Linked DNA regions of Drosophila melanogaster. The protein of the gene in region 1 purifies or fractionates together with the protein of each later gene. This does not show direct contact. Each region holds a gene or a part of one and is shown on either strand. Other genes may lie near its edges.

The links.
Region 2: the proteins of sbm (region 1) and CD98hc fractionate together in Drosophila melanogaster (co-fractionation; one study listed by BioGRID). This does not show direct contact.

What each region holds. Positions count from the first base shown.
Region 1 is NC_004354.4:14,583,755-14,597,496, forward strand, and holds sbm (sobremesa), read right to left. Parts: upstream 7,838-13,742; 5' UTR 7,642-7,837; coding exon 7,566-7,641; intron 7,335-7,565; coding exon 7,163-7,334; intron 6,539-7,162; coding exon 6,492-6,538; intron 4,978-6,491; coding exon 4,876-4,977; intron 4,411-4,875; coding exon 4,168-4,410; intron 4,011-4,167; coding exon 3,512-4,010; intron 3,404-3,511; coding exon 3,307-3,403; intron 3,062-3,306; coding exon 2,743-3,061; intron 2,683-2,742; coding exon 2,612-2,682; 3' UTR 979-2,611; downstream 1-978. Other genes in the region: nmdyn-D6, read left to right, coding at 1-198, 275-530.
Region 2 is NT_033777.3:7,971,078-7,982,937, reverse strand, and holds CD98hc (CD98 heavy chain), read left to right. Parts: upstream 1-4,509; 5' UTR 4,510-4,592; intron 4,593-4,857; 5' UTR 4,858-4,872; coding exon 4,873-4,920; intron 4,921-4,975; coding exon 4,976-5,000; exon of another isoform or gene 5,001-5,073; intron 5,074-5,168; exon of another isoform or gene 5,169-5,262; coding exon 5,263-5,376; intron 5,377-5,869; coding exon 5,870-6,048; intron 6,049-6,524; coding exon 6,525-7,801; intron 7,802-7,878; coding exon of another isoform or gene 7,879-7,884; intron 7,885-8,072; coding exon 8,073-8,319; 3' UTR 8,320-8,529; downstream 8,530-11,860. Other genes in the region: Elovl7 (ELOVL fatty acid elongase 7), read left to right, coding at 1-253, 370-567; Sfp84E (seminal fluid protein 84E), read left to right, coding at 2,645-2,647, 2,698-3,177; Os-C, read right to left, coding at 3,450-3,821, 3,874-3,963.

The DNA.
Region 1 (13,742 bases):
GGAAATAACACTCGCTCTGATAAAGCCGCACGTGCTGCGGAATACCTATGCAATGCAGCAGATCCGAGCCCTGATCTCCCAGAACTTCACCATTCTTGACCAGAAGGAGGTTTGCATTACGAAAGAACTATCTGAGCGATTTTACGCGGAGCATAAGGGAAAATTCTTCTACCACCGACTAACCAGTTTTATGAACAGGTTCGTATAGTGCCTGGGCACATCCTTAAATCCTAAGCCACTTAGTTGGTATAACCATTTGGTATATCTTCTTCAGCGGACCCAGCTACGCCCTGATTCTCCAGTCGGAAACCTGCATCCAGAAGTGGCGCAGTCTTCTGGGTCCCACCAAGGTGTTCCGTGCCGTGTACAGTGATCCCAACTGCATCCGGGCATTGTACGGAATATCCGACACTCGCAACGCCTGCCATGGATCCGACAGCGAGGCATCCGCCCTCCGCGAGATCAGCATCCTGTTCCCGGAGTTTGACGCGGCTGTTGGGAGTCGCCAGGCGAAAAGGGAGGAGGCGTAGTCGAGGAGTTCTTGATCCTTAGATTGATCAAGATGTCTACTACCAAAGCAGTTCATGAAAAATGTTTACATGTTGTTCAAGTAGCTATTGGAATTGTCCTAATTTATGTTTCTTATTTTTAATGCCTGGCATTTTTAGATTAGTATTTAGGCTAGACTAGAATGTTGTCATATGGTATGCTTTAAAAGTAATTGAAGTTTATGATACTTTTTGTGACTAGTGTACTAATATGTTTATATATTTATATATATATATTAGCAAAACAAAAACTATACTTCTTGTTGATAACTAATAAGAATTAGATGATTAAGGAATTTGGCAATGTTCTTTCGAAAGAAAAATCGCTGTAATAAAAGAAGTCAATTGAAAAGTTAATTTTTTATGAAGTTACTAACAACACCCTGCCGTAGATGGAACTATGGCAATTAACTTGAGATAACAGCGACATGTGTTTCAAAAACTTTATTTCGTCAATTTCCGGTTTACATAATACAATTCTTTTGTTATTAGGTGGTAGGTACATGTATAGATAGAGATTTTCTTTTCGATTTGCTCTGGTTTCCGTTTAGCTCATTGTAAATAGTTGGTAATAAAATTATAAAATTTATAAACTTAACAAATTATATAAATATATATATATTTATGTGTGGGTAAGTTCTGTAGTACGCCTATAAATAGGTAAAGATATAAATGTTTTGTATATCGGTTCAGACAATTGAGAAGCATAGCAAGAAATTCAAAAACGGGAAATATGTCATTAAAAAACTTCAAAATTCTTGTATTTTGTTTGCGAGCGAGACGGCACCTGCGCACCTGCTGTCTTTTTCTAACTCGTGTGCGACGAGTCCTTCACGAATAACAGAAAACTAATGTAAAGAAAAAAAAATGGCATTTTATGTATTTATAATAATAATAATAAAGTATAACCGTCTCTCTAAATCTAGTTCTAGTTTTGGTTGCAACGATTTGTCAAAGCAGACACAAGTCGCAAAAAAATGTATTTAACAAGTATCCATAGTAGTATTTACGTTTGCTTCGCTTTCTTTTATTTTTATTTGTTTTTTTTTCTATTTTTTTGTTTGAATTTTCTCATTGTTTGTTTTCTTTACCTTACTTTTGGTATCAATTACAAATCTTTAATGCCTATTTGCAGTCCTACGAATTTCACACGCGATCCCCGACCGCCAGGTGGCGCTCTAGTCGCACAAAGTTAGAAACATTCAGTTTGGGATGTTTGTATTTAGCATTTGTCCTCTTTCTTTCGTTACCATGTTGCTTTTGCATTATTATCATAACTATGATCATTCTCCATCACACACATATACTCGTACATATATAAATATTGCTATTCCAGCCGATCTCTAGATCGGGGCTAACTCGTAAATAACGCCAGCGAAAAATCCAAAATGAGAACAAACAAGGATATTTCGAAGCTCTGCGGCGAGTGTTGACTTTGGTGGGCACTGTACGGATTGGTGGTGTCATCGATTCCTGGCGGCACTGTACTCAAACCTCAAGATCCCATCATGCCCAGATAATACTAATAATAATAGGTATTATTTATGGGGCCTGCACTTCGAGCCGCTTGGCAATGATATATATTCGACTATTTAGGTGTGTGTTTTCTTTTTAGTTGTTTCTGTCATTTGTCTTGATCTTTAATTAATAGAACACAAAAATATATGTATATATATAGATTTGCTTTGTTGTTGTATAAACGTACGTACGTATCGACTATGCAACTTGGCCTATGCGCGCTACATAAAGATACAAATGTATGTATCCACACTAAATATCTGTATATTCACATATAATCTTTGAATATAACCAGCTCATAGCATAAAAAGACTATTTCAAATAGTTTTTATTACTCTAGCACTACTTTGTCAACGACAACGTCAGTATATCAATATAGGTTGCTCCTAACACACTCTCAACCCCCTTTTGCATCCTGTCTATGCTGCACTCCTAATATATCATATCCTTGTTTGTAATAGTAATTAAGTGAATGTATTTGCTTCTCGCTCTCCGAGCTTGTTGGCCTCCCGTTTGAAATCTTGAGCACTTGCCGGGTATCCCCTTCACTCGAACATGGCCATCGATGAGGTGGGCACCACCTCCAGCAGCAGCTGAAAGAATAGCGTCACCTTGTCTGCAAACAGAAGAACGTTAGCGTTATGAATTGTAATATGATATCTTTTAGTTTACTCACTCATAAATCTCGGCGTCATTCCGAGCTTGACGAACGGCACATAGAAGATCAGGCCCGCGAATATGAAGAGCAGGGCATAGAGATACTCAACGCGCGGTGTCTCGAATATTGGTGCCGCCACGAGATACACGGAGATGACCAAGACCACAACGGGAATGATGATCGGCACCTTGTAGGGCCGCGGATAGTTGGGTTTGGTGTAGCGCATCACGATCAGGGCCAGCATCGCTCCGCCGTAGAATATCCAGGCGGTGAAGCTGAAGAAATCAATCAGCGAATCAATTGTGCCATGGAGCACCATTGCCGAGGCAATCAGCGACTGGAGACGGGGATAAGTACGCACAGAGAAAGATACAGAGAAAGAGGGGAGTTTAGAACGAGGATCGGATCGATACATGGGCATTCACAGGTTTTGTCAAAAAATTAAAATGTGGATAACAAATGGATTGGCGGTAGTAAATACAAAAAAAAAAAAGTGGAATATTTGGGTCTGCTAATATGATGGCAATATGAAGCAATTCGGGGTAAGCTAACTAAATTTTGGGTCAAGTTTTAGACACTTACGTGGAATATCAGCCCCGGAGCAGGTGTAAGACGACGCACATGGACATAGGAGAGGATATCCAGCAGATGACCCTCTCGACTGGCCGCAAAGCACAGACTGCAATGGCAGTAGAACAGATCATAGATTATAATGGTGGTTCCGTTCCCGACACATATAGTTCAGAAGTTCTAAGGTCTTCCTTTTTAGCTTCAAGTCAATCCTTACCGCCCAGCTGCGAAGAGCGTTCCATTGGCGCTGCCAAAGGTGCTGATGGTGACGCTGAGTGGCATCAGCCAGGCGAGCGCGCCCAGGATGCGATTGCCGAAGGTGACGGCCACCGCCTCCGACTCGATCATCTCCTGCGGCGACATGGCCGCCAGGTAGGAGATGTTGATCAGCGCATAGCAGAGCGTGACCAGCGGTATGCCGATGATGATCGAGCGCGGTAGATTCTTGCTGGGATTCTTGATCTCCTCGGTTACGTAGTTCAGGTTGTTCCAGCCATCGTAGGCCCACAGACCCGTGTAGAAGGCCGTGGCGATGGCGCCCACATTGGGCATTGGGCCATTAAATGCATTCGACAGATGCTGCGTGTTGCCCTGCATCAGTTTCCAGGCTCCGCCGCAGATCACGACCACAACGGCCACCAGTTTGGCGGCGGTGAATACGTTCTGCACGGCCATTCCCAGGTTGACGCTGTAGCAGTTCACGAACAGGATCATCACTGTACAGTGGAGAGGGTGAATCATTAATATTCATTGGTATGTTAAACGATATGGTGGTTATAGGGATCAATACCACATAGAATTTAAAGTAATCTATCTTATTAGCTCGATAGCTGTGGTAGTGATCCCCTTTCCTCCGATGTTACCGCTTCTTACCAATTGCCACCAGGGCGACCATCTTGACCACACCCCTGGGCGGATCGCATTCCGTCACAAAGGCCTCAACGGCGTACTGTGCAAATGATAAGCATATTATAGCCATTTGAGATGGCTTCAACACCAAAGTCGATACCCATGAGAACAGAAACGCCGGCGCCGGTCCATAGGCATCCATAAAGTAGGCCCATTCCGCCCCCGACGACGTGTTCATCGTGCCAAGTTCAGCGTATGCCAGAGCGCCTGAAAGTGGGCAATCAAGGATAATTAGACAAAGTTACAAAGGATAAGCATCTATAAGTAAAAACTATATATGTAAGGATGAGGCATATTAGTATTAAGTTGCTAAGTATAAGTATCTTATATTTGACCAATCAATCAACTTTAATTTTACATTTACTTTTGAAAACGAGTAATCAACCAATGCGATGATTATCATTGGTAATCATAGAAAGAAATAGATCTTTATATTTTTTTTCTTTTTATGATTTTAAAACTAGAATGCACTTTTTCCGAGTGTATAGTGCACGCGATTGGAAGGTGTGAGATTCCGCGAAAGTTTGGCTCCTCGCCAGCCGTGCAACAAGTTGTGACGAGAGTGCAGGGTCGAATTTTGGGACTTGGCCACTTGACGTCGTTAAGTGGGTCAGTTGCACGTGGCGCACATTTCGGGCAGGAGGGGATTTTATGGTTCTGGTGACTACTTACCCAGCAGAGAGAGCACACCACAGGCAAGCCAGATTATAAAGCTAACTCCAACGGAACCAGTGCGAACCAGTAAACCGGAGGGTGACACAAAAATTCCAGACCCTGTGGATTGACAAAAGGGAGAAGATATAGATACAGAATATAGATATAGATATATGTAGCTGCGAATATAGATATATGTTGATATAAGTAAAATGCTGCCACAGCTGCGCTTCGGAAAAAACAGCTGATTAAGGGCCCACATTGTTTTCCCTACTTTCCCCATCGTTTCGATTTCCCGTATGCTAATGAGCGGCTGGCGGGGCTCTACATAGTACATATATACCATTTGAGTGGGCGTTGCGGACGTCATCAGTGGGCGGACAAAAGTTTCGGCGAAAGCTCCGACCACGCGGCGAATGCGCAATACCGGCAAATAGTGGTTTTTCCTTGCAGAGAAACTCACACAGAGGTTGTATGAGGCCGGCGAAGCGGTATGGAAAAAATATATGAAGTTCGTTGGATATTCGATCCAGAGGCGTGCAACAATTTCGGCTGCGTGCCACAAGCTGGCGCCATTGCCTAAGGTCAAAGTGCAGCAGCGACAACAGACGCCATTCGTGTCATAAATATGTATTTCAATACAGCCCAGTTTTGAAGCCAAATACAGCAGCGTCCCAATTTGTAGTGATAACTGGGCAGAAAGTATAATTGCCAATACTACGCTTTTATATAAAGTGATCTATTTTGAATTACATATATTTGTGCTATTAATTAATTAATTTCTTGTTTTATAAAGATTCAAACAAGAGATGTTCTTTTTACCAAACACTAAAATATACAAATATACTTTGATATATTACTGTGATTGACCACCGCTGTATGGGGTCCAATTTTCTAGGGCTGCCCTTTTCGCCCCCTAAAAATATGCCTGGAAATTGGCCTTAATCCACGCCATCCTCCGCACTCCTCCCACCAGCCGTCTGATGGCACTTTCATTCTCAGGCCGCTTGCGTACCCATCTACATATATATCCATACAGACAGACAATACATACATACACATATATATATATAGGTGGGCCTAAAGCTGTGTATATGTATATGTACTATGTGCATATACAGTATAATTCGCTTAGCTGCATCGATAGTTAGCTGCATCGGCAAGATATCTGCATTATTTTTCCATTTTTTTGTGTGAATAGAAAATAGAAAATAGAAAAAAAAAAATTAAGTTAGCTGCATTTTTAAGTTACCTGCATCGAGGCATTGTGCAAAGTACTCGAGGCAGCTAAGCGAATTATACTGTAGCTAAATTTATGCGTACGTATTTTTGGCCATGCGCGTCTCCAATTTGAACCAAAAAAAAAAGGCAAGGAAAATAAACCGAATGAAAATTGTGCCTCAATATTTTTCACCGACTCCCAGAGCGAAAGATGTATTAAAAAAAAAAAACAAGAACGAACGGAACAGCAAATTTGACACAATCCGTGGAAAACTGCGTGTTCGTGTGTTTTTTTGGGCGACACTTTGGATTTTCTCTTTTCCCGTCGCTTCGACATTCCTGCCTCATGTTTTATGCATTTGTTTTGACAATTGCTTTGGAGCGAAGCATCCCCGAATGGATTGTACACTCACCTATCATAGTTCCAACAATTAAAGCCACCCCACTGAAGAGGCCCAGCCTGAAATGACAAAAAAAAAGAGAATAATATTGTAAATTCAACGAAATTATCAAATAAATTAAAAATACTGCTTTTTGGGGTAGATTTTTAAGGTAAAGACATGATTTCATCACTCGAATCTGCATGTTAAAGTCAAAAGTCGATAAATATTGACGGATGGATGTCAAAAATAGATCCGTGTACTTGTTAATTTTGAGTATGTTAAGTAAATCACTTAATTGACAGCAAGGTGTAAATCAAGTGAATAGCGCGTTTTTAGCCAAGTAAATAGAAACTGTTTACGTCTACACTGAAAACATTTGGTATTTACAACAAGGCTAGAAATGGCACTTTGTCTTGTTTGCTTTAATATGAGTTTTGATCATTAAAGTAAGCCAAGTGGCTTGTCATTTATAACTTATGTTAACAAGCTAAAAAATAAATGAATAAATGAATAAATAATTCAATAAAAATGAATAAACTACTTGAAAATTGAATTTTAAGCCTACATTTTGACATTTAAATACTCAGAAGAGCAATCGCCTTCATTTTTGGAATCAATTGAGTAGCATTAATGTCCTATCCTAACAACCTGACCATTTCGAGTACACGATTCTGGTCCTGCTGCACTGAGGCAATCGTTACCTTCTCTCGAGGTGAACAACGTGGTTCTGCGTTGAGCCATTCCTCTCCAGCGGCTTCCGCATCCGCCCGGTCCCTGATGAGTCGGTCTCTGGCGCTTCGGGCCCTTCTGTCCCAAGAGACCCATTGGCGCACATGGTCCCGTTGCTCGTTGTTTTTGTTGGCACATTATGTCCTGCAGGATCAGCAACATCACCATATCACCGCGAAGGATAGCAAAAAAAGAGAGAGCAGAACACAGGGATTAGCATTAATCGTAGCACTAAAAAAAAAGTATCACACGCATAGATATGAGTATTTCGATGCCAGAAGGGCACGTTTTTTTTTTGACGTGTAGACAGAGTTTATGAATGGACTTCACACAACACACGCACACATACACACACAAGCACACACACACACACACCTCTGTTATTATCTGTTGAATTATTTTTGCATGCGTTCTTTTGCAAGCAAAATAGTTGTGATATTTTATCGCGCATGGCATGGACGGATAACAAGTTGCTAAAATTATTTCGCCGCGAAATTCAGCTCTCAGCGAATACGAATATATATGAAGAAATATATATATATATATATTTATATATATAGTTAAGAATATATATATAAATGTTCTGAAAGGAGTGCGGGCCAAAAAAAAGTGTAGCGCAGTGGGCGGCGAATCGCAGGCAACTGTTCGCATCCCAAATGGCAGCGGCGTCAAATAGTCCGCCCGGTGAAAGCTTTCCGCCGAGAGCCACATGAGCGCCACACGAGTGCCACACGAACGCCACACGAGCGCCACACGAGTGCCACACGAGCGGCAGCCGAGCGCCGGAAAAACAGCCGAACAGACGAAAAGCGAGAAAAACGACCGGCGTTGGGAGAATAACTAACCACTTTCTCCAAACGAGATTGCGTTCGAGATTCGAGATGAGTTCGACTGGTTTGGGCCTTTGGCCGTCTCTTATATCACACTCATCGAGGATAATAATAGTGCTCGAAGGACGAACTTAACGATATCTAGACGTAAATGCTTTTGATAACAGGATAAAATATCACACTAAAGAATAGTATTTTAGGTAAAGGGGGTTTTTGAGATTTATATCGAGGCTAACAACAATAGAGAAGTGCAGGCCAACTTTCTTATCGATGGAGGATGTAGCAGTAATGTCACGAAAATATTATTGTACAAAAGCTCTCAAATCTTCATCGCCATCAAAGTGCAACAAAAACTCACGTAATTCCGAATGAAAGTTTGAAATTAAGTCCTGCTACAGTGATAAGAAAGTATTATGAAATATATTATTCTTCGTAGTGAATATCAGCCTTAACCAGCATTAATGGTCACTTTTTATCAATGAAAGTTAACTCCATTTCAGAGATATAAGAATGAAAAATTTAAAGGAATGCAACTTTATGAGAAGGTGTTAAGATTTCTTTGGCATTGTTTGGAATTGTTCAGCAGCTTTTCTTTTGTTTTTCACGCTGACTACGTGACACACTGCGTATGTATGTATGTAGAAGAGTCCCATCCTTCCGACTGATTTATGCAATTCGCGCCGTCGGTTCTATATTTTGATTATAGAATTGTCAAGGTGAAGGCATCTTCTCTCCTCGGATCTATCTCTCGGTCCGCCCAGCTATTTATAGCTTTGCATAAAAATTTCAAATTGAATTAGTCGGCTAATTTCGCGGCGACGTCAGAAGGTTCTCGCCACCGATCAGAATCTGCAGTGTAGTAGCATCATCTATCTCTCTGTGGTCGCCTCCATTCATCGGCTCCTCTCAATTAATTGTTGGTTGCGCATTTCATTTGCCTCAATTGGCCGCTTATTAATGGTCATGTGCTGTGACTTCGTTCGCAACACTTTCATATATATATATATGTATGTATATAGATGAAATTATATATATATGTACAATATATTGCATGTATCTCACTCCCATTAGAAGTCTGGCTACAACGTCACTGGGTCTTTAACTCTCGCCCACGAGGCGTCGAAATTTCATCAGCCCAACGACCGCGTGTACGTACATAACACTCTATGTATGTACATATGTACATACACATTCATAGTTTCAAAGTTCTCCCACTATTTTTCGGCTTGATTCTGCCACTGGATGTGCCCCCAAAAATCGTATATGTACGAAGATTGTGTGCTGAACAAATAGATATCTATCTGCACGAGCATAAATATATTATACGTATCCAAAGATTTGAATACACACGCCATAGTGCCTACGTATGCAGTCGCGCAAGTGGGCCAAAAAATTAGCAACGATTTAATTAATTTAAAATATTGGTTCGTTTTTATACAGATCGAATTTCTAGTTTATGAAAAATTCGCAAATCTCCAAAGAATTAAAAATGATAAATGATTATGGGCCAGCAGTGCGTATACGTAATATATATCAAGTATACGTAATGTTGCCAGTATGGAACAGTTTTAGTGGGTAGCTAATATTTTGAAGATACGAACTATTGACTGAATTATAAATCTTTAACTTTTGATTTGGAATACCATTTTGCAATATATATTTTTAAGCGCTATTCTTTCGACTTTTAGTGTTGGTATAAAAATAAATAATACACGTCTATACACACAATTTTTGTATATATAGCCACATAAACATAAATAAACGATTCCTACGTTAAGCTCTGTGTCGTTTTTCAGCCTCTGCAGCTTCTTCTTGCCCCGCATTTTTTTTCTCAATGTATTTTCTGTCATAAAAGTCACGCGGCTTGTGAGCATTTTCGGATATATTTTTTTCTTTCTGTTTTTGTTGATCGCCCGGCAAAGGGGGCGTGGCAGGCGGAGAATGGCTGAACCGGATACATTACTTGAAGATCTTAGCCAGTCAATAACTAAACATTGCATATTTGCAAAGGGATGGGAAAAGTAAACACATAACCCAATCGTTCATTAGATCGATCACTTAAGTATTATTCATTTATTTGCTGACATAAATATTCAAATAATAATAGTAATATTAAGTTCTTGGCACTAAAAACAATAGTGCGTTACTGTATAATTTTATCATTAATATTTGTATTACTCATACGCAACGTGGTACCATGGGGAAATGCATTTACAATTAAAAAAAAAAAACCTAAAATAATTGTAAGAAATCATATTATGAACTATAATGAAAAAACCTACCCAAAGACTATCCAACATACTTTAATTTAGCTAATGATTTTCTCGTTTATAGTTTTCATCAAGATGCGAATACAGCCACTTGGCAACCAGTCAGCGATATTAGAACCTAATAGTCAATTAAAACGGAACACGAGCCAGACTCAAAATACCCCTTTTCTGAGCTCGCCGAGCAGTTAAGTGAATTCCTTGCGTTGTTTTATTGAATGTGATTTCGATTCAGTAACTCGACGCACCAGATATGAAGCGCCACATCAATTTAGTGTGTGCAATATGACTCCTACGGTCATCATGTGGAAATCGAAAATAACTTAAACTCAGTTTCTCCCAAAAGAAGAAAAAAAACGCGAATTCTTCAGCAAATTTAAGAAATTTTCATAAAGAAGAGAAAAGAGATTGATAAAGCCATAAACATTTAATACAGAACCAATAGCAAAATGTTAGACATATATATCTATAATAGTGCACTTGTAGAGTGATCACTGTACTTCGATTAGGCCGAACAAAACCTACGACCAGCAATGCACGTAGACTGCGGATATTCGCGATATTTCTTTCGTATTTTTAGGGGTCGAACATTGTTTGGGCTTGTCGGCTGATTTTCGTTCGCTAATTATTTAGTCACTCTAATGCAAAAAACAAACTGCAAAGATATTCGAGTAGATAACACCAGCGGCTGACGTGCTAGCCAAATGTCTAGCTAGCTAAAATAATAAAATATCATTATCGCTCAGCAATTATAACCCACCTGATTACTAATAAATCAATTTAATTTTCGTAACGTCAGTGCGAATAATAAATCATTTTATGTCATAAAATTAAATGCTTCTATGGAGCTCATGATTTTGAGATTTGCACATTTAAATGAACATTAATCTAATAGCAATAAATGACTTTATCAGAACTGAATGGGTTTCTAAAACAACTTGCTATCCCAAAGATACTGCAAGAAAAGAATTCTCTTAAATAGCCAAATGATTACTATCAAGGGAAGCGAATTCTTTGCAGCTTTGGAATTTATTCTATCTATAGACGAGTTAATGTAAATATTTTGGTATTTTCTTCTGAATATTGTTTAAGAAACGAGGTGTTTACCTTCAACAATGAGGCGGTGATTAGGTGTTATATCTATATTAGCTAATTTGTCATAGCTCTATGCTATTTTTTTTTCTCAGTGTAGCGAAAGCAACTCCAGAGGAAAGGAAGCCGTTGTTGCCAACGTCAGCGGCACTAAAATGAGTAATAATCACGCGCTGGTCAGCCAAAAATTTCTGGGTCGAAGAAAAGCTGCTCGTCGTGCAAATGAATATTTCAAATATGCAAAGCAAAGCTCGGCGGGGAAAGTTCATGCATCTCAATTGGCCGGTGGCCAAATAAAAACGATTTTCCTCTGTCGCCGACGTCGTTGGTAAATATTTTCAGTTAATTTTGTTGCGATTGTCGCGTCAGAAATTCTTGAAATCCAAATGATCGGTCGAGGGAACAAGGACATCTCACCCCTGCTGATCCTGATTCAAAGTTCAACGAACACAAAAGTTGCCAGTCCATATAAGGCAATGGGAAAATCTAAAGCATTTTTAGAAATTTCATTGGAAAGATAACATTTTGTTAAAAGTTGAATAGCACCTAAGTTATTTTGCGAGCTCATTTACAATGCTCTTTTTATTGGCGGCATTATCTTTACCGAGCTGACATCTCAATGAAGTGAAAATTTATTCGAATTCCGCCACTTGTGGAAATTTAATTTCAACTAATTGTTTACTTATTTGCGTTAGCGTTGTTAATTAAACGAGGCATGAAAAGTTCCATCTGCTTGTGTCGCAAATTCGTTTGTGCTAATTAGAGCACAATATGTGGATTGATTGATCGAATGTCCGCGCCTCACCTTTTGACACTAGTTATTGACCAACCACGGCTTCTGCGGCTTCCATTTCGATCCCCTCCATTCTCAACGAATCAATCAAAGAACTTGGCTACAAGTGTTTGCTTAACCCTCGACTGACACGCGAGCCACAAATGCGCCCGAAATAAACCACTCTCCATTCGTTTAATTGATTTATTCTGTATCGTTAGACGTGTCCCGTGTCCCGAGTTCCAAGTCCCGACAACAGTGTCAATGGCCCTCTCCCAGTCCCAAGTCCATGTCCAAAATTCACAATTCTGTTGGCCACTTCTCATAAGCAGAGAATCGGGTTACACGTCGCCACAATTCACAAACAGAAATGGTAATAGAAGAATATTACGTTATTATTTCACTTTTTTGTGCACTTTTTTATTCATTCCCAACACCTTTAGTGGTTTTATCGCTGGCCATGAAACTTTTTTGCTGATAAATCAGGTGCGAACCAGTTGAAATCTAATTGAAACTTAATCTGCGACTAATTTTTATTGCTACTCAAAAAAAAAAAATGGTGCAAACCGGTTATAAACCGATTTTGAGTGGCTTGTGTGGTTATTTAATAACACCAAATAAATTGATAATAAATAATTACATAGGTTAATAGGCTCAGCAGTCTATCTTATACCTTTTGCAGTTCTAGCTGCAACTTTCCATTGTTCGCGTTATCCTGCCGCGCATAAACATCCGAATCCGCTTATGAAATGCTATTATTTCAATATATGCTGTGCTCCATTTGCGTCAGCCATGCCCACCTCTGCCATCTCCTGGTCGTCAGCCATACTCCCCTGCTCCATATTGTTTTATTGGATGCTGTCGAAATGCTCTGTTCGCCGCACCACTCTTAATTGAAATGTATCGTTTGTCGTTTAACGTTGGTCACCCTGTACCTCCCCCCCTCCGCCTTCTTTGGATTTTTGTTAATTGAGCCTCTAAAAGCCAGGAGCTGCTGCAGGGTGGAAAGGGGTGGTGGAGATGGGGCTGTCTGGTCGGAAGAACGACAAAGTCAATGTCAAGGCGAGAAGTGCACTTAAAAGCATGTGGGTGGCAGTGGGTGGCTGCAGGGCGTGTCGCCAATTTGCAATGTTCACAAAGTGGTGCACATAATAAAACACGGAGGGAAATTCATTTAACAACCTGACATCCGTTATGTATCATAAAATCTAGAGATATAGAGTGTTGCATACTTTCTGGCGACTTGTTAAGAAGTCAACTTAAAATAACTGCTAAATATCCCATTGCTATGCAATTTGGCATGCAATCCTGGGTATTGCAAAAATAGATATTTAATCTTTAGGACTATTTGCTGATACATTGTAGATTTTCTCTTAGTGCACAAGTGCTTTAAAGCCAACTGGTCACAGTTATTATCTCTGCCACTATTAGCCGCAATAATTGTGACGCACACATAGGGAAAAATCATTGACGTGTTAATTTGTGATGCCAACAACACCTTGACATTGTCACCAAGCAAGGTCAGCAAAAAATGCAAAGCTACGGGAAACCCTGTTAACAATAAAAAAAACATTAACAAAGAGCCATGTTA
Region 2 (11,860 bases), on another chromosome or scaffold:
CTTCATGTACGCCTACTACATGCTGGCCGCCATGGGACCCAAGGTGCAGAAGTACCTGTGGTGGAAGAAGTACCTGACAGTGATGCAGATGATCCAGTTCGTCCTGGTTATGGTGCACTCCTTCCAGCTGTTCTTCAAGAACGACTGCAACTACCCAATTGGCTTCGCCTACTTCATCGGAGCCCATGCGGTTATGTTCTACTTCCTGTTCTCAAACTTCTACAAGCGTGCCTATGTGAAACGCGATGGCAAGGTAAGAATGCTAGCTAGGCTATACTAGAGCCAAAGGCTAGTATGTATAACCATGTATTTTTAAAATTGTTAAAAAGCTTATGACAGCATATATTTAACCAAATGTTCTTTTTTCAGGACAAAGCGTCGGTGAAGGCAAACGGACATGCCAACGGACACGTGAAGGCGCTCAAGGACGGCGATGTGGCGCCAACCAGCAACGGCCAGGCCAACGGCTTCCACAACACCTTCTCCAAGTTCACCACGGATATGTGCAATCCGGCCCTGAACTCCTCGACGAGACAGCGTGTGCTCGTGAACGCCGGCAACAAGTGAGCGCCGCCAGCCAACCAGCCAGCCAGCCAAACATGAAACACACATAAGCATAAATTAATTACGCTACCAATTAAAATACCGTACATTTAAATTAAACGTAAGCATAGGGAGTCCAAGCCTACATCTAAGCCAAATCGAATTCGCACCAAGATCAATTGAAGACAAGGAATCAAAAACATTATTTCATGGACAATCCATGGTGATCGCACGTAAGGATCACAAATCGCTGGCATACCGCTGTCCATCGATCATTTCTTAGCTACAAATATATCCACATTTAGTCCCCAACACTTTCCGCATCCAGTCATCCATGTTCATGTACATAGATCGTATATAGCTGCTGCTAATTTAGTGGTACGGCGTTCATCTACTTTTAATGCTTAAGTACACCCTTTCGGGGACGTGTATTTCCGCTTTTCGTATCTATCGCTCAACAATTTTGTATTTTTCTTTATGCAAGCGACGCTTTTTAATACGTGTATTTTATTTCTATGGATTGTTTTGAACAAAAGAAATGTGTTTTTATTTTATAAATAAATTCGAGATTAAAACGTAGTAAATAATCTTTTATTTCTTATTCCTACATTGATCATTTTTGAAAAAATTATGTTTTCTTTCATAGGGGGATGTTCTACAATAAAGATAAAGAAGGTAATAAAGACTGAATGATTTTCCTTCATTTATTTGATTATCATGAAAATTATTTAACCCATTTTTGTTAAATTTGGTGGCGCCACCTTGAGATCGTCGACAGAACTATAGTGAGCCCAGTTTTTTACATACATCTCCGACTTACACACAAAATAGAGAAGAATACTTTTAGGGTTCACAGTTAAATGAAATGTCAGAACGATCACCAACGTGTAAAAAGTTTTAAGTTCTACCGATCTTATAAATATTTATACTTTTTTAAAATTTCGATGTTTTTATACGGAATGCTGAGTATGATGATATTGTTTTGAACAAGTTAGAACCATACATTTGTCTTAGTCATGACAAATTCAGCTATGCTGAAAGTCCTGGAGTTCTGAGATATATTAAATTATTTTCCGCGGACAAATAGAAAAAACAGATACCCGTAACTCAGCTACTGGGATAAAATTCAATATTTTCTTCGTGCTAGAGAGGACGTGGTGCTCTAGAACAAACTGACGGCGCACCAACATCTCCAAAATCTTATTCTTAACTTTCTAACTTGTATAGTTCTTTTATAATTTATCTCCTTTGATACGGACAGAAAGGAGTACGGACGGTCGGACAGGACTAAATCAACTGGGCTAGGTTCTTGCTGATCGTTGGTTTCCAATGTTATACTACGTTTTTGTAATTTATCTAATTTATCAAACAAATTTCAAACAATATTTAATATTCACCTGTGAAGCCTTGGCCCATGAAAATGTACATATACATCAGAATTAAAAAAGGTTCAACAAAAAGTTTAATATCAAAAGGTATTTGACCTTGCATCGAACTGATGTGAAGTTGCCACGCCTCCAAAAGAAGTCAGAAAAACAAAGTTGACTTATTACAGGAATAGTAGGCATGTCAGGTCATTATGGTTAATGAGAAGATGCATGGGCATGGGTATGTAGACCTTCTGAAGGTTCCTCACAAAATGCGAACCAGCAGAACGGACTTTATGCAAATTATTTACCAATACTTTGTTGGCAGTAAGCAGACAGGAACACGGATACGACGCCATGCATAATTATTTCATTACGACCTAATGAACAGCTTCCGATCGATTCTCATTACCTAGGGCCTGATTTGTGGTAAAATAAATTGCCAATATTAGCCTCAAGAACACGATCACCGAATACTGAGAAGTGCCTGCTTCCAAAGTTACCACATTTCTAACCGAGATGTATTCTTATGCAGGCACTAGCCTGTGGATGGACAAAGCACTTTAAAAACAACATAACTATATTATTAGGACCTTTTAGGTGTCGTATACAAAGAGCACTAACTGAATTAGTTATGAACCACGAAGCGGAAAATCGAAATTTTGCAAAGCGAAAAAGATTTCGAGATCAGCAAAAAAAAAAATCAAAAGCAATTCGATCGGCAAGCGATTAAGATGGTAATGTATTGCCTAAAATCGTTGCCTCAGTTAAATGTATTCTTTTTTAGCGTCACTTTACCGTGCTAGTATCCTGCATCCTGATAGTTATATTGCCATGCGTGTTAGGGGCTCACAGGACAGCTCTCAAGAGTCATTATAGAAGCTTTGTGAAACCAAAGCAGAATGTCATACGGGCTAGAACCAATCAAACAACACAACTTACATTAGGAGACTATACGGAAAACTTTTATAAACACTGCATGGATATTTTCAAAGAGAAAAACTTGGTTGGTAAAGTGATCCATGGCATGATCAGTGGAATTTTAGACAGGCTCAATGAAGTGTGCCTCGACAAGCCCATTCACCCACTTATCCACAAAGTTTTCACGGAAATCCTTCTCTGTGGCGGAAGCATGTCGGATGCAATCGATAGCGTCATTGACATATTATTTGGAAATTTGGAAAGAAATTGCAGGGAGAGGCCTGGATTCAATAGCTATTATATTTTAACCAGTGCGGAAAACGAAATAGTTGAATCAAAAGGTTAAACAACAATCTGAGAGCTTATATATTGATGTAACCAAAATAAAATAATTAGGGGTAGCACTAATACCTCTTATAAGACAATATGTTATACCATGTCTTAATATAATGTAAATATTACTACAACGATATTTAAACAATGATTCTTTTAAGAAACTCAAGAAACCAAACTACATCCAAATATTATTCACTTGTTTAAGATTCACTATGCAGATACAAAAGTCAAATCAATTCCGGTCCAGTTCCTTCAATGGTAGTCACATTAAATTTGGCTCGGCTATTCGTTCTTCTCGACGGCAAACAATTCAGAGCCAGGGGTCAAGTTTTTCAGAAATTGCACAGATCTTGCGAAGCGATCGCCCGCTGCATCCACGCTGGGAAGAATGGCCTCCAAGAGAATGGGGACTACTTGCTCGCCTACGGATTGAAAAAGCTCAGCGATCTTGATTATGGTGGCCGGATCTGGCAAACCTGGAATAACCGCTCGAGCCGATGGCGTGTTGTCCGTATTCACCTCGCGTCGTCTGCGTCTGCTTTCCTCGGAATCCTCGACTGTTTCCTCGGAGGAGGAGTCATCGTCGTCTCCATCGTCATCGCCCTCCCGCTTGATCACCACCTCTGTCTCCTCGCCAGCAACTGTGATCACATCCTGATGGCGGATTGAGTTATGCATGTTCGAACTGATTATACTCGTCAATCACCTGCGGCCTGGCCTGCGTTTGGGTCACCATCTGAAGCATCACCAGCAGGAATCCGGAGAGTAGCAGCTGTCGTCCCATGTGAAAACCCATTTTGTCAACTTGGTTGGGGCTTACGCACCGGCCTGCCATATATATAGCTCCCAGTTAATAGGCTAATGACACTTGCATGTCTCTTAATCGGAAAAAGATAATATGCAGGGTAATGCAGCAATTGGTCAATTTTGGTGTGGCCCAGCTAAACCAATTTGAGTTCTATTCGGCAACCTTGTGGAGTCGGCAGACTCTGACTCTCCAAACACCCGGCAACTCAGCATATTTGGGCCTGGAATGCGCCGACGAGTGCAGTTTGCTCTGCGCTGGTGGCTGGCCACAAAACCCGGTCCACCAACTTGGCTTTTGGTCAAGCGAGAGAGCTCAGGTAAGCTGCCACGCAGACAGGTAGTTTTTTTGGGCCCGGCTCAATCTCAATCGCCGCGAGCCATAAATCGTACTTACGCACACGGAACGCGTTTCTTTCACAGGTATAATTAAATCAAACTCGAGGAGCGGTTCGGATTGGGGCTGCGCCTCTGGGGGCGATGCACTGCCAGAGCGAAACTGCAACTTTAGTTGCGAATCAGACCTCTTATTGGGCAGGTCACAGTGCAAAATACAAGCCAGTGCCAAATATCTCATTTATTGTTTATAGTTTTATTAACAGTCTTTCAAAAAAGCTAAGGGTATGTGTACATATAATATTTTTTAGTGTGTGCCAATACATACCTTGTTACAATGTTTTATATTTATTCGATCCCAATTATCATTATATAATTGTGAGCTGTAACTACAAATGAATTGGTATAAAATTACAATATTTCTTTAAGAGCTTACTTCATCAGAAATACATATCTTCAATACAATACTTAAGTAAAAATTGGTTTTGGGCTAGTCTGTTTGAAGCACAGTAATTTTCATTAATATAAATTAAATTCTTCACTATCTCAGGAAATCACCACTGCCATGAACCTATTCTCGCGCTTGATACGTTTGGGAGGTGGGGCCAGCAAAGTAAGTACATTAAATTCAAATATCTCAGCATTTTAAGTGATTAAAAATATTGCAGAGCTCCGTTACGCTACCAGCTCCTGGTGAGTTTTTCTAAGCTAACAGTTCAAATTTCCCGCCAATCAGTTTTGTAGCAACGAGCATCTGTAAGACAGCGTAAGTAGGCACTGAAAATCGCCGAGGTATTTTATAAAAATATGGAATAAGGTATGACCGATGGGTAGATTAATTCCTGGTAAGCCCGTATTCAATCTATAAAATATTTTACATACCACACAAACGAGGCATTTGTAAGGAATTCTTCACCGCGTTCATTTCGCTAATTCTTGCTGCGGTCTATTTTAGGCGTATGTGATAGTACAATCAACGCAGCTGCTGAATACCCACCCGATTCCACGGAGGTCTACAAAACTATAGCCGAAGATACTTTTGTGGCAGCCAGTTCGAACCCCGAAAAAGGTAATTAAACAAAGAAATTGTGTCTACAGCTGGGGAAAAATGTATGGCTGACGTAACAATGCGTCGAATTTTCACTGGAAGCACTCATGAAAATGTATCTAAGTATCTATATTTAAAAGTGTATATGTGTATTTTTCATGAGTGGCTGGGGTCGTGGTGGGCGTGTGCTTATCAGTACGCGGGAGATAAGAAGAGTATACGGAAAGCGATATCGATTTTAGACCAAGCCACAGGTCCATTTTCCAATGAAGCGCAAACTCGAAGCGTGGCTCGCATCCTGTGACGTCAGCAAGTTCTTCCAGAGAAAATCCCACACACGGAAAACTTCCCTTCTCCTGTGAATCATGAGGAATGTGGCTTCTGATTTCGACTTAACCTTACAAAACCAGCTCGGTTCCCCAGAGAAAGGCTGTTGGCTTGAGATTAACGTGCTTACGCTTAATTGAAACTGATTAGAGCAAATTGAATCATTGTTGAATCATTTACTTTTTAGTCGACATGGTCCAGGATGAGAAGGCGGCCCACGCCGATGGCGCCGACGAACAGATGCTGGGCTCCAACGGAGTGGAGGATAAGCTGGCCGAGCGTCGGGATGAGGTTAAGTTCATCAAGGGCGATCACCAGAACGGAGATGCCAAGATCGACATCGGAACCGTAAACGGAGGCAAGCCCGTGAGTATTAAACATACATACATTTTTGAAAATTAATTTAAAAATGAGAAAGGAAAATAATATATGTAAACGCCATTGGTTAGACCGTTATTTCAAAAGCTGCGCAACTTAAATAATTTAAACAAAATCGCTAGTTATGTACATACATATGTATGTGTGCATGTGGTTATGCTAGAATTCAAGTTACACTTAGTTGAATTTCGTTCTCCGGTTAATGACCTTGGCTTGTCATTCAATAAATATACATATGTATTAATATGTGGGTGCACATGTGCATATATATATATGTGTATATATGTGTGTAACATACATGTGTATTCGCAATTATTGAAATTTATTTGTGCAGTTTTATTGTTATGAAATACTCGTTTTTCATATTACTAATATGTAATTAGTCTCTACTTTCTGCTTTTACCCTGACGCATTTTATTATTTTATAAAATAGTACTTTTAATAATTATTTCTTTTCATTACAGGCCTTCACTGGTATGAGCAAGGAGGAGCTCATGAAGTACGCCAACGACCCTTTCTGGGTGCGACTCCGCTGGATCTTCTTCGTGTGCTTCTGGGCCATTTGGGTGGGCATGCTGGTGGGCGCCATCCTAATCATCATCGGAGCCCCCAAGTGCGCTGCTCCGCAGCCACTTCCATGGTACAAGCGTGGACCACATGCCAAGTTCGCCAGCGTTGAGACCTGTAGGCCAGAGGATGTTCAGGTCGCCAAAAAACTGGTTTCCGCTGGCGCGATTTATGAGCTTCCAGCTGCTCTGACCTACGACGTGAAGAAGCCGGAGGTGGAGGAGAAGATCAAGCATTTGGTGGCTCTGTACCAGGGCAGCGATACCAGGGTTATACTTGACCTGACGCCCAACTACGCGGCAAAGAACTCGCAGCTTGTGCAGGATGCCATTGCAAACCCGGAGAAGAGATCGGCCTTTGTCTGGGTGAGCGGCGGTAAAGCTCTTCCCAACAACTGGCTCAAGGTGGGCGGCAATCGCAGCGCCTGGGAAAAGGTTGGAGACAACTATGTGCTCTCCCAGTTCGAAGACGGGTACTACGACCTCAAGATGAACAGTACCATCATTAGGAACGAGTTCGGAGCAGTCCTAAAGCATCTGGTGGCATTGGGCGTTCGAGGCTTCCGCCTGAAGAATACCAAGTTCTTTGCGCTATTCGATAGCCTCGAGGATGAGCAGATCTCGTCATCGCCGAAGGACTTCAGCCTGGGACCCAATGAATATGGCTTCTACTCCCACAGACAAACAACTTTCCTATCCGGCCTGGGCGATGTGCTCTATGATTACCTGAGCATCGTGAAGAATGCCTCCGACGAGGCTTTCTTCTCGGTTGCCGAAGATGTCATGGAACCACAGGTGTACCAGTTGAGCGGAGATTCTGGAGCATACGGCATCGATCTGCCTATGTACGGAAACTTTGTAAAGGTGCTCAGCAAATCTAAGCCAGACACGTCGCTACAGAAGGAACTGGATAACACACTCGCCCAATCGGGCACGGACAGCTGGCTGCAGTGGAACTTAGCGGACGTCTATGTCGACACCCCACAGGATCCATCTGCTCTGGCCATGTTCCTATCCCTGCTGCCCGGTGTTCCCGTGGTGGCTGTGGATGCTGTGGCTTATCAAAACGTTACCGAGGAGACCTACAGGCAGATCACCTCTCTGCGCAAGACTGCATCCTACATGCATGGAAATCTTAATCTCTACCAGGCCGATCCACTGGTCGCCTTCTCCAGGTAATTGAAGTTGTTTACTTTCTCGATTGTATTTGTCACTAACTTTTGTATAATTCGTTAATGCTTGCCACATGAAGGCAGAGGTAAAAACTTAAACCAAGTGTCCCTATATATTATATATTAGTATTTTAATTTTCGATATTTCTGAATTCATTTATATTCAATCCTACTATAACCTATGCTTAATTTATTAGTTGTGTTATTATGTAGTTAAAAGATTTCAGTTATCTTTTTGTTTTTTTTTTAAACCCATTTTATGTTTTTTCCACAGGATCAAGTCTGGAAACCCTGGCTACTTTGTCATCTTCAATCCCACCGAACTGCCGCAGGCGAGCAACTTTACTATCCCAGACAATCTGCCGGACAAGATGACGGTGTCCTATTTCAGCGAGCAGTACAACAATAACATGGATAACTCCGGAAAGGTTGCTCATGCTGGACGCGTGAATCTCAAGGATCTCAAGGTGGCCCCGCACTCCAGCATTATCCTGACCTATGTGCCAGTGAAGGCGGAGTAATGTGGTAGTACCTGTAACTATCCACCAAAATAAACAATATCGCATAATGGCATATATACAGAAATTGTATAAAAAAGTAACTCGCTTTGTTAACCGTTGAGATTTAAAGCCGCCAAACAAAATTAAAAACTTATTCGCTGAGAACTTTTTAGACTTGCTTGCTTGTTAAATGCGCTTGCTAAGAAATAAATACAATATTTGCTTGCATTTAATATAAACTTGTGTTTTAATGCATATTAGTTTGGACAAAGACCCTAGAATAACAAGATGCGTAACGCCATACGATTTTTTGGCACACGATTTTTTGGCCGTGGCTCTAGAGGTGGCTCCAGGCTCTCTCGAATTTTTGTTAGAGAGCGAGAGAGCGAAGAGCGCTACAGCGAACAGCTCTTTTCAACGCACAAAGTGATAGCAGACATCAGTATGTGTGCACACGTATTCACATGCATTGTAAATTTGACAAAATATGCCCTTCACTTTAGAAGTTCTTTGGCTTTAAATCTATATTATTTTTGATAAATAAATTTCAAAAATGACTTTATATAAGAATATTTGTCATTAGAGTATTCATGTTGCGGCGTGTGAAAAATTAATAAGGCAATTGTTGAGTGCTTGTGTCCGCACTTCGTGCCTCAAGATATGAACAAAGCAAAGACACTAGAATAATTCTATTGTCTTTGATATTACTTTTGCAATTTAATTTAATTGCATATTTAATTATTTAGTATATTTATTAAATCATTTGACTTAATATGATGTAACATTAACATTAAAAGTGTTTCAAAAAAAATATTTCGCTTTTAAAAAATTGTCAGATGAGAGACAAATTAGAATTAAACATAAATATAAATGTGTAAACGGTAGCTAATTCGAGCGGCGATTTTAACAAACAAATTTAAAAAGCTTTAAAATTATAATATTCAGGGCGCGAATTTTTAAAAATTTTTTTATTTTATCATATTGCTAGGAAATTGGCAAAAACTACCCTAATATGTACCATGTAAATTCGTTTCTTCGATCAGAATTGATTTCGGCCCGAAAATCGTCTTCTAGCACAACACGCACACTTATACGCGTTCTCGTCTCTTGTTTTTACTCACACAAGCAAGCAAATTATATTTTTAGATTTCTTACGCTCTCAGCGGGAGTGAGCCGAAAGAGAGTAATTTTGGCCGTCACCAAAAAAGTGGCTGCATAGTGCCAAACCAATGTATGGCCGTTACGCATCTTGTTATTCTAGTGTCTTTGGTTTGGATTAAATTCAATGGGCCTAACATTAAAATATATATTTAAGTATATTAACATTTAACAATGTTTTAAATATCGGTCTGGCAACATCCAGTTTCTGGCAACGCCAGTTTTCGCCAGAATGGCAACTTTATGTAACGTATAATCAAAATTCAAATTCAAAGGTCTTGTGTGCGTTTGTGGACTTGACACTACAACAACATCAACACTACACAATTTTCTAATTTGACATTCTTAAACAAGTTGGTCAAAATGCATCTCTCCTGCTTAAATGTCATACCACACTGAAGAGGAGCAGAACTATTTGGCCTTTGTGGAAAAGTTTAAAGACCTCAAAGAAAACAGCGAATGCATTTGGCATACGTGTGTGGGCCAACTTTGAGATACAAATAGTTGGGGCGAGCTGGCAAAACAAAAGTATGTGCGATGTGTGGGCTGCCAAAGACAAATAATCAAAATCGACAAGCGAAATGAGCCAAAAACAAAGCGGCCAAAATGTTTTTAGTTTGCACAGTCCTCGCTTTGAATGGCAGCCTGGGGAGCAAGAGCTCTCTCCACAAACCTCCTCGCCACTTATGCATGTGTATCACCAAAAGGCCAAAAGGATATGCGCACGTGCTAATGTGATTAGATACACAAACACCAGCATGCTGATGCAGGAAAAGGCGACTTGTTCGAGGAACCGCAACATGCAGTGCAGTTGATTGCGGCAAGCCAGCTACAATAACAAGAAAACTCGACTACCGTGCAGAACAACTTCATTTTGGGTATCTCCGAGATGCAAACTATTGTTGCGCAGGTCATCATCATCGTCCACATCATAATCATCATCACCATCATCATCTGGGAACTGCAAACTTCTCGACCGGTATTCCGCCCCTTCCCACACACATATGTACTTAACACCCACCACCATCCCTGCCAACACTTTGGACCTGGCCTTGTGCGCTGCGAAATTATTTTGTCGCTACAACTTTTCCATCAGGCAGTCATCAAGTGCAGCACCAACCCTTCAGGACAGGTCGACTCCGGCTGACCACTGATTTAATTGCAATGTGCAACACATCTGCTGCGATGTCACCAAATGCGCAGGGGAATGCGTAAAGTGGTTTTTAATAAAGTTTTCACTTGTATCCTGGCTTCGGCCTTGCGAATGATGATGAAAGGGTTAATTGCTCCCCCTGACAATCTGTGGTTGTGACGGATATACATTTTTTTACACTGAAGGTCATAGATGTTTTGTAGGATTAACATTTTGTATTTGGGAAAGTGTGCTTAAGGCTATGGATGTTTTATATGTATATTAATATAAAAAACTTTTTTAAACAACCTTTTGTACATGGATAAGTATCATTAGTATCACTTATTTTATCGCACTATCCCTTTTCAAAATGCAACTAATAAAGTAGGGAAAATTAGGTAGCGGGATTTTTAAAGACCACACACTCGACTATCACGTTCTTAAATGGTGCACATGTACTTGCTGTTGTAATATATTATAATAGCCCAGTAAGAACTTTAATATTCGACTATAATAGCTTTTGTCACGATCTGCACATATTTCACTTACTTTATTTTCTATAATAAACAAGTAATCATGAGCGATAATGCCATGTTTTATGTTGCATGATCAGTGTAATTGCTTTATTAATTGCCGAACGCCGAGCTCTTACTTTGTGTTAATGCAAATTTCGTAATTATATTAAATACAGCCTACGTAGTTAATATATATAATAATATGATATTTAAATACAATGTAGTGCAAGTCACCCCAAATTGAACTATTTCTACGATTAAAACCTTTGCTGGCACATTTATTAGGTGTCACGATATCAGCTTAGGGTTCCTTTGAAGGGCTTACAACGGATTATGGGGCGAATACGCACCAGTGTCAACAACTCAATTCGATGGGCAGAAAAAAAAAAACAGCCAAATGAGTCGGCTAATTTGTATTGATTTTTTATCGGAAAAGCCAACTCCCTTTTTTCTTGCGCCCCATACTTTTTCAGCTCTATGTTGCTGGTGCGTATTTCTGTTTGTTTTGAACTTTCCCATGAATAAATTTTGCATATTAATTGAGCGACTGTCATCAATATGTCTGTGCGCAGAACGGAACCCACCCAATGACCAATGAGCATTCCCTGCGCCAGCCTCATCACAGCATGGCATCATTAGTTGGCCTAAAAAATCCCATCAGGCTTTGATTAACATTTTGTGCACACAAATGCCGGCCAAATGCAAGAGCGTCTAAATGAGTTGCATCTAATTGAGTGACAAACACGCCACGAACAAC